Xenopus tropicalis: one gene and its partners. The protein of the gene in region 3 purifies or fractionates together with the protein of the main gene of each other region. This does not show direct contact. Links are inferred from orthologs where the notes say so. Each region holds a gene or a part of one and is shown on either strand. Other genes may lie near its edges. The genes, in order: med9, cdk19, med12 and vdr.

Evidence for each region.
Region 1: the proteins of med12 (region 3) and med9 purify together in Homo sapiens (affinity purification with mass spectrometry; 6 studies listed by BioGRID and IntAct, with this or other methods). This does not show direct contact. The link is inferred for Xenopus tropicalis from reciprocal best matches to the Homo sapiens genes MED12 and MED9.
Region 2: the proteins of med12 (region 3) and cdk19 purify together in Homo sapiens (affinity purification with mass spectrometry; 10 studies listed by BioGRID and IntAct, counting the BioPlex papers as one, with this or other methods). This does not show direct contact. The link is inferred for Xenopus tropicalis from reciprocal best matches to the Homo sapiens genes MED12 and CDK19.
Region 4: the proteins of med12 (region 3) and vdr purify together in Homo sapiens (affinity purification with mass spectrometry; 3 studies listed by BioGRID, with this or other methods). This does not show direct contact. The link is inferred for Xenopus tropicalis from reciprocal best matches to the Homo sapiens genes MED12 and VDR.

Annotation. Positions count from the first base shown.
Region 1 is NC_030685.2:15,706,177-15,709,474, forward strand, and holds the end of med9 (mediator of RNA polymerase II transcription subunit 9), read right to left. Parts: intron 1,174-3,298; coding exon 957-1,173; 3' UTR 543-956; downstream 1-542.
Region 2 is NC_030681.2:77,212,174-77,216,255, reverse strand, and holds the start of cdk19 (cyclin-dependent kinase 19), read right to left. Parts: upstream 2,805-4,082; 5' UTR 2,681-2,804; coding exon 2,553-2,680; intron 2,541-2,552; exon of another isoform or gene 2,360-2,540; intron 1,995-2,359; exon of another isoform or gene 1,621-1,994; intron 1-1,620.
Region 3 is NC_030684.2:44,398,398-44,402,585, reverse strand, and holds the start of med12 (mediator of RNA polymerase II transcription subunit 12), read right to left. Parts: upstream 2,813-4,188; 5' UTR 2,482-2,812; coding exon 2,254-2,481; intron 1-2,253. UniProt on the Homo sapiens protein: Component of the Mediator complex, a coactivator involved in the regulated transcription of nearly all RNA polymerase II-dependent genes.
Region 4 is NC_030678.2:143,849,742-143,853,998, reverse strand, and holds the start of vdr (vitamin D3 receptor), read right to left. Parts: upstream 2,827-4,257; 5' UTR 2,590-2,826; intron 1-2,589.

The DNA of each region.
Region 1 (3,298 bases), on a different chromosome or scaffold from region 3:
TTTCCATTCAGGCACTCACCATTCCACTGAACATTCCATTTCAACATCCATACTGCTGCCTGGTTGCCAGGGTAATTACAACCCTAGCAACCAGGTAGCAGGGTAATATTACAAGCCTTAAAGTTGCAAAACACAAAATATAAATTAGACTAATTGCAACTTTCACCATCATAGCAAGTTAATATTAGACATGAAACTGCGGGGTGGGGGGGAAGTGTCCATCTGGCACATTGTCCTTATTCAGGGGGTTCCAGGAAGTGGGTAAATAGTGAGCCAATCGGATTCCTCTGCACTACATCAGCGCGGATATATTTAGGCCTCTCCATACAAGGCGGCCTTTCCGCGCCGATGCCCTTTAGCGAGGGAGCCGTGTGTATTTCGGGACTACTTTACCTTTAAGGAACCCGAGCGCTCGCGGCTGCTTATTAGTGGAACACCCACTCGTTATTTCAGCTCCTGCTAATTGCTCTGCGTTACTTTCTTAATGAACTTGTGAACTCAATGGACCCGTGATTCATGTTCCGGAGAAACTTACAGCACAATTAATAGCTCGGTGGAATAAACTTTATGGAAAGACTCATATCCTGAATGAAAAAAAAAACAAAAAATATTGTCATTACAAAAGAATGTATTACACTAAAGGGGAATTTAACCATTACACAAACATTTAGTACGTTGTAGATAGAGGTAATATGTCCTTATCTTCTCCTATTCATCTTTCACACCACTGCGTGGTTGCTATAGGGACTGAGCCTAGCAACCACATAGCAGTTTAGAAAAAAACATCCATTAGGAATTTGCCCTGAGTCCAGAAGTCATGTACAAGGGCAACTGCCCTATATCGAGTTTAGGAATTGCAATGGATCCCTCCATATTTATACACTCTGGTTGGCCAGTGTTCCGGGCGCCATGTTGGGTTTGGCAGAACCTCCCACTGGGTGCAACAGTCCGTACAGCTATTCCTTGGGTATCTCAAACATGCAGAGGCTCTTGTACTTCTGGAGCAGTTCATTCTTGGTCTGTACCTGTTCCCTCAGGCTCTGGAGGTGCCGCTGTTGCTCCTCCGGGCTCAGGTCGATGCCGGGCATGTTGCCGACCAGCTTGCGCATGGCTTGGAACTTGCTCTTTAACTCATTCAGCTCCTGGTACACGTCCTGGCTGTCTTTGTCCATGCTAGGGGGGAGGAGGAGGAGACTGGTTAAAAATAAGCATTTGGGGGCTGAATAAAACCAATACTGGTACTGTTATTGGTAACCTTGGGCTCACTGCTCTTCTTCCCTGACAATGGAGCAGCCTGGGGTACTTTCTATGGGAGTGCTGCTATCTTTACCCAGTGTAGTGTTCACTGGGAGGAGCCTAACACATTAGTAATTGCACTTGCCCTTTAAAAAAAAATAGGGGGGCAGCAGCTTCTAGTAAACAGTTCATTGATCCTCACCAACCTGCACCCACCTGTGCCCAAGGCCATGTTTATATATAGGCTCCCTGGGGTCGGTGCATAGGAGGGAGGCTATTATTAAAGCTTATTAATACCCCCAGCACGCCAGAGGGCACTTTTATTATAAATCTGGTGGAGGAACTGAAATAAAGTAGGGGGGACCCCTCTGCCTTTCAGACCCACCACACACCCGTGACCCATTGGGTGATTAACTGCCCGAACCCTCCCAACTCCAAGGCTTCAGGCCCAACTCCCACTAAAGCAGGTTCTTTGCCGTTTCCCAATTCAAGTTGCAGAACCAGCTTTGCAGCCCAACATGTGCTTTAGAACCCATTATGTGCCTTGCTTTAATAACTATGTCCAACAGCAGGCAGCGCAGGGGGCCTATTCTGTGGCCCATAGGTTATACAAGTCTAATGCCTATTGGGCCTAGAGCCGCCCGCCATGGATGGACTTAAGAGTCGGATGTTGTTTCAAAACCTGCTGCTCAAACAGCCAAACACGATGCAGTTCTCTTACAGGAACAGAACCAACATGGATGGAACAGAGATTAAGGGGCAGCAGAGTAAAGTAGCACCTAAGTAACTGCAGTTGTTTTCTTCGAGAGCTCTGATCCGCCGCGGGCTGAACACAGGGCTCGCAGGCAAATCCACGGCCAGATGGAGGATATTGCTTTCATATGCATTCCTGGGAGGCCTACGCAAAGGGGACTTATATTCATTGGCTCCTTATACATATCATTTCAGTCACCTGCTGCCGGCCGCCGGGCAACGTGCCGCTTGTTGTGTATTTGGGCGCAGGCACGCACCTTAGTGTCGGAGGGCCCCAAACACCCAGGCAAGGGCAGCACCCATAGCTAGTGCGTCATTGCCATTACAAGGGTAAATCTGCCTACACATTTCTTTATAGCATTACCCACCCCATTGTATGTAAGGCTGCTGCCAGCTCCAATTAACCTCACTTTAGTGGCTCTGTAGGAAAGGCAGGCTTAATTAGATGCTAACACGAGGAACGAGCTACCTTGTCTGTACTGTCACTTCCGACAGCAATTAGGCTTCCATTTACTGCATTTATCTGCATAGATTCATCAGGGATGAGAGTGCGTATATATCTATATATATCTATATGTGTGTATGTGTGGGTGCTTATCATATACAGAGCAAATCTATATACTAAAGGCAACCCAATCTCCCCAGTGCTTACACACATACAATATCCAGAAGTCACCCTGCCTTCTCTGTGCAGTGGGACCAATGTAAGCTCTCTTCTGATTGGCTCTGACTGCATAGTGAAGACAGGGCAACTGGAGAGCAATTCCATTTTTGCAGTATTATAGCTGGGGGGGGGGGGGGGGGAGAGACAGGAGCTACTCGGGGTATCTTTAGGGACACAGACCTTCCTGGCAGATAAGCCTAAAGACTAACCTGCAGCATTTCTAACTTGCTCTTTCCTTAGGATTTAGTTCCCCTTTAACAAGAAAGTGCAGTGAAAAGGGTTCCTGTATGTAATGAGTGTCCCTGTTGCACAATGTGTTGTTACTGCAGTTCTTCGGAATCAGAAGTGACATACGCAGAGCGCTGATCGATAGCAGATACTTGTGCGGCTGTGAGTGCACTTGAGCTAGGAATTATCGGGGGCTGATTCAGAGGCGGATGCAGAGATGGGAGCAATGATGAGGACACGGCATCCAGGCAAACAGCTGGATATTGTATTTATAGGCTACGTGCCTGCTTGCAAGTAAAGCGGATCTGTTCTATCCCAACAGGACCCCGCAGGCCGTTACAGCACTATAACTCCCAGCATCGGCAGTGGATATGGGAGATAGAATTCCTCAGTGGCTGAAGGCTGCATGTCCCTATC
Region 2 (4,082 bases), on a different chromosome or scaffold from region 3:
GAAGGAAGTGAACAGTTCTACAAGCAAATAAAATATTTCAAAACATCCTCCAATGAAAGGAAGTGCTACAGATAAGATTACAAGATTAGAAAATGATGTATTAGTCACCAACGTGACAATTTAAATATACTAGCAAAGGTAAGAGCCAGCAGACAGTTTACACAAACATAGCAGAGTAACCAAAAGTTACATGGGTCCCAGTTTTTTAAGAGATTTTATTGGCTCGAGGGCCATTTTTTATGTAATTAAAGGTCATGACAGACCGGAAGATTAGTCACCCTAACTGGTGGGATGGCATATCGGGGAGATTAGTCGCCCGCGACAAGGGAGATTTGTCGTGCAGCAACTTATCTCCCCGTCTGTCATGGCCCTAATGGTAATGTACCACAAACCTGCCCAACTACTACTAAACAAAGAATTGACAAGGATTCATGGGAGGTAAACAAAGGACAGGACAGTGGAACAGATAATTTATTACTAAGTATTTCTGTACTTGGGGAATTCTTCAAGAATATCTAAATATTACATTACTTAGATTTAAAAATAAGCAGGGTTATTTATGATGGTCACAAGTTGTCTCAGTGAGCATCTCAGCAAATGGGCTATTAGATGTTAAGGCATGTACAAGAGGCAAGGAACTACAAGCTTACATTGAGTATCAAATTGCCCCAAGTTGCCCCTGAGAGATGATCCTCGCCTCCAAACCATCACCAGTGGGAATGAGAAAAGTAAAGACAGAAGAGTTTGACTAGTTATAATCTTTGAACATTTACCTTTAGCTAAGGGGGCAGAGAATAAAATAATTAATAATAATTAAAAATGAATAGTTACAGGAAAACATTTAAGCTTACTCATTATACAAAGAGTGACATTTATGCATGGGCTGGAAATCTAATGCAGGATGTGAGTTAAACAATGGGACATGGAATTGTACAAAATGTTCCAGCAAAAACACAGAAATAATATGGAGGGTGCACAGGTACAGAAAGGGGAATATTTTTTTCTTGTGGAAAAAAAACAGTAGAAAAAGAAACAGACAATGCACTATTTGCAATGTAATGTGATGTCACTGCTACAGAACTAATGGATTTTTTTAACCTAATATAATACCTTATAAGTCCCCAATCTGTATTATTTAGCCTAAACCTGGCCCAGGTATGGGCTGCAAGACAAAACAGACCCTGGCATTTCAAGTACTTAAGACGCCCAAACAGCCACCCACAGGCCCAATAGTGACTGTCTATGGGCATCTTACAGTCCCTCTGGTGTTAAGCAGAATGTACAAATTGCCAGTCCAGCAACCCACCATTAAACCAGTAGTTCTACCTATGAAGAAGTGAGCAAAGCACTGTGAGAATTAGCACCTTCCCTGGAGGATAACTAAAGGGCCAGAACCAAGAGTTAAAAAAAAAAAGGGTTGACAAAGGATTGCATCTTTTTAAAAGCTTTTTTTATTGATTCTTAGTCCTGAGAATTAAAAAAAAACTTCATGCTAGATGGGCTAAATAATGTCTGTCTGATAAATAATTCAAAGTTCTTACAGCCATTAGTATAAGACTGCAACTAAAACATCAAACATGGAGGCGATTATAAAATCTTGCACATACACAAACATGCCAATGTTTTAAAGAACGTGTGTTTATTTAGCAAATATCCCAGAAAAATCACATAGGTGCCATCACAAATGTTTTAACCTGAATGAAATCAAGCAAAGCATCATTTCAACTTTATTAAAAGTCTTACTATGCTGAGTTTAGAGAACAACGCATTTATTTATTCCTTAGTTAAGCCTGAAGTATAAGCAGTCACTTCATATCATGTGTAATTGCCCTTTTCATACACACAGCTCAGCCTCCAGTGATGTTCAACTTGTGGCCCTACCGCTGCCCTTCACGAATCCCAGCGGGTAACTGTCTCCTCAGTAAAGGGCTGGCATCCTTACTGATCAGGACTGGCTCTTTAAAGAGAGGGAAAATGCCATAGAAATGGGTAATCTGCAAGACGAGGGAGAAAATATTGACACATGGTGCTATGGCAAACACTGAAGAGGAGGAACAGCGGAGTAGGTGGGACCACAAGGCTGGATTACCCCAACATAAACATTTGTAGCTCAGACTCCCTCCCCCTCCTCCCCCAGCACAAGTTCAGCATCCCGGGCGTGTGCAGAGGAGGAGGAGGGAGCTACAAATACACAGTAACAGCACATAACTAGCACAATATCCCCATCAATAACTTCCTAACATGACAAGAAATGCAGCATCTCCGGCTTTCCTCGTTGTCCGGGGGTTACGTGTATATGCAGTGCTGCTGGTATAACAAACACAAGGCTGTGACAGACATGAGTGAACACAATAATTACCTCATAGACACAATAGCAGCAAGCACATGCATTCTACTGTACGGAACCCACGCAGGTATGTGTGCACCTAGAGAGGTGCGTTTGCTGCTCAAGCACAGGACTGCGCGATGCTCTAGGTGGTCCGCACACAGGTATGAACAGTGACCTAACACACACCTCCCTCCCACACGCCCCTCCCTTTAGTGCCTCTTACCCATCTTTCCTCTTAGCTTTGTAAACATGCCCGTAGGTGCCTCGACCCACTTTGCAACCTTCATATTCAAACAGCTCCTCCACTTTCTCCCGCTCGGCGGACAGCTTGCTCTTAAATTCGTAATCCATCCTCCTCCACGGCTGGAGCGAGGGCGTATTTAACCCATCAAGGCTCAGCTATCGCCCCAACCCTTTGCTGTCCGTTGGCTACTGCCGGTCGTTACATGGAATAAGTGCCAGGCTCTCCCTCCACCATTTCCTTGTTTTTCTTCTTCTTTGCACATAGACGCATGCCATGTACTTTAGCGGGAAGAGCGCCCTCTATCTTTACTTTCAATTTCACTTCCAGCAGCTGCCCGCTCTGCCGTGGTGCTGCCAAATTGTGGAAGCTGCCCGCCTGAGAGGCGTCACTTCTTACCGGGCCTGTACTCTGAGCGGAGGGTTCCTGGGCACAAACAACTGGCAGGGGGAAAGCCTATCACTTCATTCATTACTTCATTGCTGGCGATGCAGTGCCTTCATGTTAATAAATGCGCGCCAAATCACACAATCAATTATAAACACATTTATCTTTGAAATAGTGTTTTTTTCAGTGTACTAGTCAGACATTATCCATAGAACTAAAATACATGGCAAAAAATGCCTTGTTCAGGTAGCAGGGAATTCAACCATGCCTAATGCTGGCCAGTACTAATAGATGACACTGCAAACTTTGCCAACTAGAATAGAGAGCACTGAAATAAATAATGAAAGCGCGGAGGGACTGTGGAGCCAGCTGTGGCCCAGTTCCCTCCGTGCTTGTAAGGGGTTAACTCACCAGCTAGTGCAGTCAGGAAAGGGCAGCCCCCCCTTGCTCGCTCCTCCTCCCTCCTCTGTGCCTGCATTCCCGTGCTGCTGCTGCCACTCTGCTTCTGGATTCCACCAAGCGGCATCCTAGCTGCTCCAACTGCTGCTGCTGCCTGTGTCCATCAGCCCCCACCAGACCCCAGCATGAGCGAGGAACTACTGGAGCAGGTGCAGGCAAAAATTGCTTCTGATGGAGCCGACTGGCTACAACAGCTACTTGGCCCCATCAGCACTGAACAGAGACAGGGGGGACAGGCAGCCGGCAGTGCTGGGAAGCGGCCGGCTCGCCGCTCCCGCCCTCCCTCTCGCCTGAGCCCCAGTCCCCCACGCGCATCCAGGCGCACGTCCTCTGCCGCTGCCTCCCAACCCCCGACTGTAGTCTCGAGGAGGCAGCGTGCAGAGGTCAGGACTGCGGCCCAGGCACCTATGGCGGTCACAGCCACTGCCACCAATGCTTCTCAAAGACAAAAGCCCCCAGCCAGTGATAAGGCTAGGCGGGCCACACACAGGCCCCCACAGTGGAAGTCAGCACCCCCACTGCATTCCCTTGCCCCTACACCAGTTGCAGTCCCTTCCCCCACCATACCCCCTAGCCCGGGACCCCTTTTTGCCACTGCCACATCAACGCTGGGCCCTCATCTGGCTTACTGCAGAGGGACCACAGCGTGATAGAATTCGAAGAAGG
Region 3 (4,188 bases):
ATCATCTGAATATGTGTCTACCACTCCCTTCTCAAATTCTTTATTCCCTGGTTATCCATAATCCAGCTGCATCCTGGGGGTTCTTCTCACTCTTCCACCATATCCTTCTGTGTCTTTTATGCTAACAAAATCCTATTGTGAGTATACCCAAATATATTTATCAAACCCCTTACCTGTACTAACAACTGAACTTAAGCATTAGATCTCAAACTGCCATCTAACCATTGCCTCCTAAACTAACCCCCATTTCAATGAAGCTTAAAGGAACAGTAACACCAAAAAATAAAAGAGCTTTAAAGTAATAAAAATATAATGCACTGTTGCCCTGCACTGGTAAAACTGGTGTGTTTGCTACAGTAACACTACTATAATTTATATAATAAGCTGCTGTGTAGCCACGGGGGCAGCCATTCAAGCTGGAAAAAAGGAGAAAAGGCACAGGTTACATAGCAGATAACAGACAAGTTCTGTAGAATACAATAGTGTTTTATCTGTTATCTGCTATGTGCCTGTGCCTTTTCTCCTTTGAATGGCTGCCCCCATACTACACAGCAGCTTATTTATTTAAGTTATAGTAGACTTTCTGAAGTAAACACACAACTTTTACCAGTGCAGGGCAGCAGAACATTAAATTTTAGTTACTTTTATACACTTTCATTTACTGTTCCTTTAACAAAAACTGAACATATCAACTTTCTACCTAAACCTGGTCCTTCTTCCCGTTTTATTATTGCTACTAATGGCGTGATCATTATCCCTTGTAATTCAACATGCCACCTGGGTGTAATCTTTGACTCTGGTCATGTTAACATTATCATTAACAACTGGCACTTTTACCTAAGCAACATTGCCTTCTCTTGTTTAATCAATAGCTAAGACAGTCAACTGGAATTTTAGCCAAGTAGAATACCACAACTTAATACTAACTGGCCTCCCAAAATCTGACCTCTCCTCTAAAAGGGGCATAGGTTCTATGACACCTTCACCTGTTTGTTGTGACTATTTTGGCTCACAGGTAGGCATAAGTCCATTCTCCTGCTAACTTCATCTTTCCTCTCATAGCCACTGCCTGGCCACACCTCCCACATTATACATTTGGATTCCATCTCTGAATTCCTTTGGAGAGAATCCTCCTTCAACCCCGTTAAAACTAAACTTAAAGACTCTTTCTGAAGCATAACATCTGACTCAGTCTGGCACTTATGTAGCAATGCCTCAACCACTGTTAATTGCACTTACTGCCCTGTTCGTGTCTGTAAGTTACACACCCATTTAGAAGGTCAGCTGTACAGAGACAAGACCAACTTCAAGTGGTCACTTAATCTTAAATGCAATTGTATTTAATCATATTCTATTATTGTATTGATTAGTGATGTATTTACAAATAGAGGTGTATTGCCCCATCTATCTTATATTTCTGTAAATCTCACCCACCAGTGAAATCACTTTCTGTGCTTTGCTTCTCTCCAGCCATTATTTTTTTAGCCAGAAATCACTATCGGGCACCATACCTGTTCCCTTGTAAGCTCTGGCCTGGAACTCATATCATCAGCACCAGCAAAAGCTATATTTACTAGTACCCATTCTCTCCTAGATAGCCTTGCATTTAGCCTTTGCATATTCAACCTCTACAGCCTCTTTAAGCAATAACCTTGCCAATATACCTTGCTAATTTACCAGTCAACCTTCTACTTTGTTTGCCCCAGCCTTCAGATTACAAGCCTTTGTAAACAGTGTTCTCATTATCCCAATACTATTGTTATGTCTGTATATAAATTGTTATATTCACAGAAGTGGGGAATATGTTGGTGCCCTATAAGTTGATTGTAATGTTAATTTTGTTAAAACTACCTTTTTGCCTTCTGTGCCAAACTTTAAATAGCCTAGATATATCCTTCTGCCCATTACCCTGCTTTTTTTTTTCTTTTTCATGTGTATCAATCCTCCCCTGGAGGACTGGTTCATTTAGCTGCACAGGGCAAATTAATTGCACCTAAGCAGTAACCTGTAGCAAACTATCATATTTTTTGCTGCCATTATTTCAGCTGCAGCTGTTTGTACAAAGCTAATAAAGCACAATGGCTGCTAAATCTTTCAACTGTTGGTAAAATCCCCCGATTTATAGGTTTGCAGATTATCCTTATTTGTGTGTGTTGCCTTTAAATGGCCCCTTTCCCACAATCCCCTAGTGCCAGATCGGTTTAAGCAGCCTTCTCTTCCATTCTGGAGCCCTGACAGCCCCTCGGGTCTCACCTCCTTCTGTTTGGCGTCTTGAGGGTACACGTCTGGGGGTCCAAGACGGGGTCTTTTCAGCGGCCGGTGCTCGTAGCTCAGGATCCCGAAGGCCGCCATCTTCCTTCCTTGCTCGGCGGCGCGCACGACATGACGTCGGATGGAACCAACAGGTCTGGGCACAAACACAGAGCGCTGCGGGCGCGCCTGGTCACGTGATACTGAGAGCAGTGAGGCCAGGGCGGCCATGTTTGTGCTTGTCACGGCCGTCTTATGTCTTGAATGGTTGGCTGCTGAATGTAATATTATAGGTACTGGATATGTTCACTAGAAGAAAACCTCCCATCCCTGGTCAAGACAAGCGCTTTTTAAAGGGAAACTCTGTTGCCCGTACCCAGTTTTACCACAAGGGGTCGCATTCGTAGCATTCTATTGTGTTTTATTTACTAACCTGTACGCTTCAGGCTGACTTGAACTCTATTTTGTATCTAAGAAACGTCAGAAAAAAAGAAACATGCCCATTTCAGGCATGCCTAGAGATAACATTGCCAGTCCAGTGCCTTTTTGTGTGTGCTCCTTGACAACACTCCTGGCCACACCTTGATACACCCCCCATCCATAGGGACGCTGTTTTTTTTTTTCTTTTACTATTTTACCGGCCTTCAGCCAGGGGTGCAGGTGGGGGTGTCACATGGGCGGATTCTAGGCAGGTCTGGCTTTATAAGGAGTAATCTGTCAGTGGAGAGGGGAAGGAGGGATTCATAGGGTATTGAAAATTGGCCTACAATTATATTGCCAGTAAATCTGGCCTGGCCTAGCTGGTGACTTACAGGCTGGGCTGGTTAAATACTGGCTGGGTGGTAGCCCTACCCCTATCATGCTTAGGGCACCCTGTTATAGGCCTTTTCAATCATGAGGGTTCATTTTAATTTGGGTGCACAACTCCAAAGCATAGCACATCACTGGTACAATATGGAACTCAGGAATACTTTATATTGAGGTGATTTTCTGATTGCAGTGCAGCCCACCAACTTGTATTGAAAGCTTATGGGAAATAAACTGTGCAAGGCAAGGCTCAGATCACTTCAGCTCCCCAGGAATATTTCAAACAACTCAGAAGAGAGTGGGCAAGGTTTTGATCAGGGACATTTTTGGATAAAACTGGACATGAATGGAGCAGATCAGGTCATGGCCAAATGATCACAATTTTCAATATTGGGAGGTATGATATAGGTATACCTATGGGAAATGTGTTGTTGAAGCCCTACATTTAGTGGTTTCCTTCCAACATATTTCCCTTTATATAGGTACAGTTATGAAGTGTTTATGGCTGTGCTAAAATCACTGCACCACATTAGGTGTTTCCCTTTAAATCAGTGGTGTAATGCCCTCCCCAGTGGGGTGGTGGGAGGGGCTTGCGCCCTCAGCCATATGGCGGGACTGCTACTATCCAATAAGGGAACTTTAAGCAAAGGGACCTGGGTGAAGTTTTTATGGTTGATTTGAATCGGCACAAGCGTCCAGCACCCCCTGCTGGTAGTTCCTCCCCTGTTATTACCTCCTCAACCAATACACTTTTTTGTGGCGCCAGGCGCCATTGGCAGACAAATGTGGGGGACCTGGAATTGTACCAGAGACATCAACCAGCCCCATGTCATGAATGAGACAATGATTCAGTCCTTTTTAGGTCTGAATTCCTATTCACACTAAATGATAACATGAAATAGAGTGTGAAAAAGCCCAGGATTGTATCATTATTGCCCTCATGAAATAGTGCTGGTTGATGACTCTGTACAGCAGACCCAGCGATTGTCATGGTCCCCCATCTTACCCAGGTCTGCTGTATTCTAGTTATTCTAGTCAGCAGCATAAGGCTTTCTTGCTAAAATCTTTTTTTTTTATATCAGTTTATAATAAATACTGTGATTATTGGTACACCTTTTTAACAAAGATGCT
Region 4 (4,257 bases), on a different chromosome or scaffold from region 3:
TGATATCGGTCGACTCGCCGATCGGGCGGGTTAAAAGATTTTGATCGGGCGCCATAGAAGGTGCCTGATCAAAATCTTATTTAATGCAAAGTATCCTTCATTTATACCCACATGTTTCAACAGCACTTAATAGAGATTATCATTCATATGTGGAATAGAAAAGTAAAAAGTCATACTTTGATCCCTGTGACACAAACAGGAGCTCCTCTACACATAAGTGTTGAACAACCTGTAGCCCTCAAGTTGTGGCTGAACATGTGCACTAAATAAGCACAAAAAGAACAGCTACCCATTTTGTATCAGACAGAGCAAGATACTATTAACTCCCTTAAACAGACAAATACCCATAATCCCTTAAAATGGCCATACACTAAAAGAGCCACTCGCTAGCAAGTTCTTTAAACAAGCGGATCTTTCTCCGGTATGGCAATCTTGAGGTGATTATTACTGGACTATTGCCAAATGACTGGATCACAATAACACCAAATGCAGGCAAGGACCAGATTATCAAGCCAATGTGGTCCTTCACCCAGTGGGATTTAAACCTTCCCAATAAATATCTGCCCAATATTTGTCCAGAAATTGGAGGGCCCCATACAAAAGCAAATAATCTGCCGACTCGGTTTCAAGGGGCTAAATCAGCATATTTAAGATGCCAAAGTCCACAACTGTGTGTGGTGGAACTCATAGTTTAAAGGAAAACTAACCCCTAAAAAGAGAATATGGTTAGAAATGGCATACTTTATATACTGAACTTATTGAGCTGGCCTAAAGGTTCAGCATCTGATGCAGGCCTTCAAAGTTGTCACAAAAGCTCCCCATCTTGGATTTTGTTATAAGTGTCGGTGTGCTCTGGGCAGCTGTTGAGAAGCTAATCTTATGGGGCGTTGCAAATTATCAAGTGGAAAATGAGGTTTGTTTGTCATAAAGGCCGATGCTACAGGGCTGGGTATTAATTTCTGATGATAACTGCACTTGTTTCAGAGCTGCCATACACTAATAATCTGTATTATTTACTAATTAGCCTTATATAGTGACATTTATAGTCTATATATACAGTATATTGTGACATTTATAGTTTATATCTACAGTATAATGTGAGTGGGCCCCTAAGCTCAGTAAGTGACAGTAGCACAGAGCATGTGCAGGGAATCAGTAGAAAAGAAGATGGGGGGCTACTGGGGGCATCTTTGAGGGCACAGATCTTCACTGCTAAAGGCCTGGGGTTGCCTTGGGGTGGTACAGAAGCCCAAAATATCTACTAACCTACTTCTTTAGTTAAGCTTTAGTTCTCCTTTAACAGCAGCTGGCTGGATATCATTATAGAAAACTGCAGTCTTAAAATCTAATGCATGTCTGAATAGTACAAACTCCCCTGGTTGGGGTGGTAGGTTGGTGGTAGCTTTGAAATTCTGAAATGGTAAATGGTTATAGCCGAGATGTTGTCATTCCTCCACCACAACGTTGTCATTCCTTCACCACAACTCCTATTATGATCCTTTCAGTTCTAGTCCAGACATGGCTAATGAGCCCTGGGCTAGAGATTGCTCCTTTAACAGTATTACTGTCATCTGTGGCTGTTTAAGATCTGGAAAGAAAAATATGTGTGGTGTGTCTATACACTCAGCATCTTAAACCTCTATTTACTGTTAATGAACTGGAATTACACGCCCCCTTAAAGTGGTACTGACACTAAAAACGACTGTTCAAAATAAAAATGTACATTAAAAGTTCCCTATAAGTCATATTGATCATTTTTGCTGATAGGACTGATTTTTTAACTGTTTCTTGAAGTTCCAAAATCTGCCTGTTTTGCCAACGAAGCTCTTGAATCGTTTGGTCTGTATATGCACTCCGCAACAAACAGGTTGGAGGTATCTTTTTACACCAGCAAATCGTTTTGTTTGCTTTTTCCTTTTTTCATTGTTTTGCCAACCTGACTGTCCCTTCTAAAGTTGTCAGTTATAGTTTCTAATGTTAACAGACTACGAGCAGCCCCCTCATAGAGCAACTTTGGGGATCTGATAGATAATGTAATAGCAAAAAAAGGTCTAATTTCTGGTTCAATGAGTTGCAGTTCAAAAACAGCGGGAGCACTCCAAGTTGGGTATAACCAATATAAAGGAAATCTGCCAGACTAGGGACCAATGATTATGAGGGGAAAAAAGTCATGTTCAACCTACAACTCTGTGCTGTTGTTACACTACAACTCTCAGTCAGGTTTGAGAGTTGTAGTCCAACAACAGCTATAGAACACAGCCTGGACATCTCTGATGTGTATAGTAAACACAGCTAACACCTTTTACACAAATACACAAATACAGGGGGCTAAGGTCAAATGCCATCTCCTTTTACTAATAGCCCCGCTGCTATAGGGCTTGTGTGACACCTATGCTGTCATTTACCCCTGTCTCTCATAGTCCAACACGTTCCGAGTACAGTACACACAGTGGAATACGGCGGTTACAATGTAACAGAGTTTGACATGAAGTGGAATGTACTAATCCCCTTAGTCCCCCCCGCACTGCCCAATGAGCGCTCAGTGCCTGACAGGAGCTGTCACCCTCATGTTCCCGGCCGCGCTGTTACCTTGTAACTGTAACCCCTGGATCAGCAACCTGGCACGGACAATTGGCACAGCAGCCCCAACTCTTCTTGCCTATTTGGTTTCACAGCGGCTTCCAGTCAGCAGAACCTGAGGAGGGGGGAAACACACTGAAAAAGGGACGTGACAAGTCCCTCCTGGAGGTGGGAATGCCCCAGCAGTAGGAGGGGAAAAGGGCGGCTGACGAGCAAGGTACGTCCTTCCTGTCTCACTGCCCCATTCATGGGCTGCACCGTCACTCTGACCTTTGGGCGGGACTGTGGAACCGCAGCTGCTGCTCACATTAACTCTTTAGTGACAGCTACACAGGGGCTGCAGGAAGGAAATAGTTAACATTTGCCCAGTCCTTGAGACTCGTAGGCTGTCTGTAGTTTCCCCTCACTGCCAGCTGTCTCTGCTTTATGTAGAGAAGCGTCAGACAGACAGGCAGTTGTTTACACCTTCAGAAGGCACGTCATATTGCGCAACAACTTGTACATATTTTCTATCATCGGGACTGTGAGAGTTGTAGTTTAGCCTGAGGGTTTCGGGGTGGTCGTTCCTCATGCTATTTTACATTTTTCAAGGGACCATAAAAAAATTGTGTAAAATCCTGGAAATGTTTTATGTATTATATATTAGTGAAACTACAAGAAAACAGTTTTAAATGCTGGAAAACTTAAACTAAGGGTATTGAGGCTTCACTGTGTATGTTATTTTCCCAACCCCCACCCCATGGAAAACACAGGCTTTCTAAATTACAAGGACCCCACTCTACTCTCAGAATCCCTCCAAAACTTCTTGTTCCAATACCAAGCCAAACCCTAATCCACACAGGATATTGCACGTACATAGCCCATTGGATAAAAGCAGATGGGGCACAAGACAAATGTCCCCTCTGCTACATATGTGGTACTTCTACATATTATGTACATACGTGCCGCACCTTAAGATTACTTTATTTTACTATTACTATGTAGTATTTCTGCATACCAGACATACAATAAATTACAATATAACATTACGTTGAATATGTAGATCATCCCAGTTTGTGTCCTTTAGTCCCCCCCAAGATGCACAATTAGCAGCCTGCCCTATATATTTAGATTATAGTGCACCCTGTGCTGTAAGGAAAGCTTCACTTTTTGATTTAGAAGGCATTGCTGGAGATTCAAATCACACTATGACTGCATTGATGGGAAATTGCTCAGTATGCTGGGGAAATTTTTATATTATATGTGAGAGATAAACATTTCATGCAAGTTACTAAACAAACAGGCCTAAAAGTGTAATGTATAAATAACAAATAATAATTGCCAAATATATTGGCATGTCTCAGTAGCATCACATTATATGAATAAGACTACTATTAATTATATTTATATAGTTGCCCTACACAAGTGAGTGCCTTGGGATCTCCCTTTAAGTTGAGCTGTCATTCCTGATTAGCTTTACATATGCTTGTATTGATTCTCAGCCAGTAAGAGTCCTAGCTCTCAGGTGGGTTACATAATTGCTTGAAATAACTCTTAACTTTTTCATAATCAATATACCTTTTCTTTTGGGGCCTGCTGTTTTTAGGAGTTCCATAAATATAAACTGCTTGCTTGTATTGCCTTAGCAGTAACTCTGCCATTTCCTTTTAGAACTTATCGTGTCTATCTATCATCTAT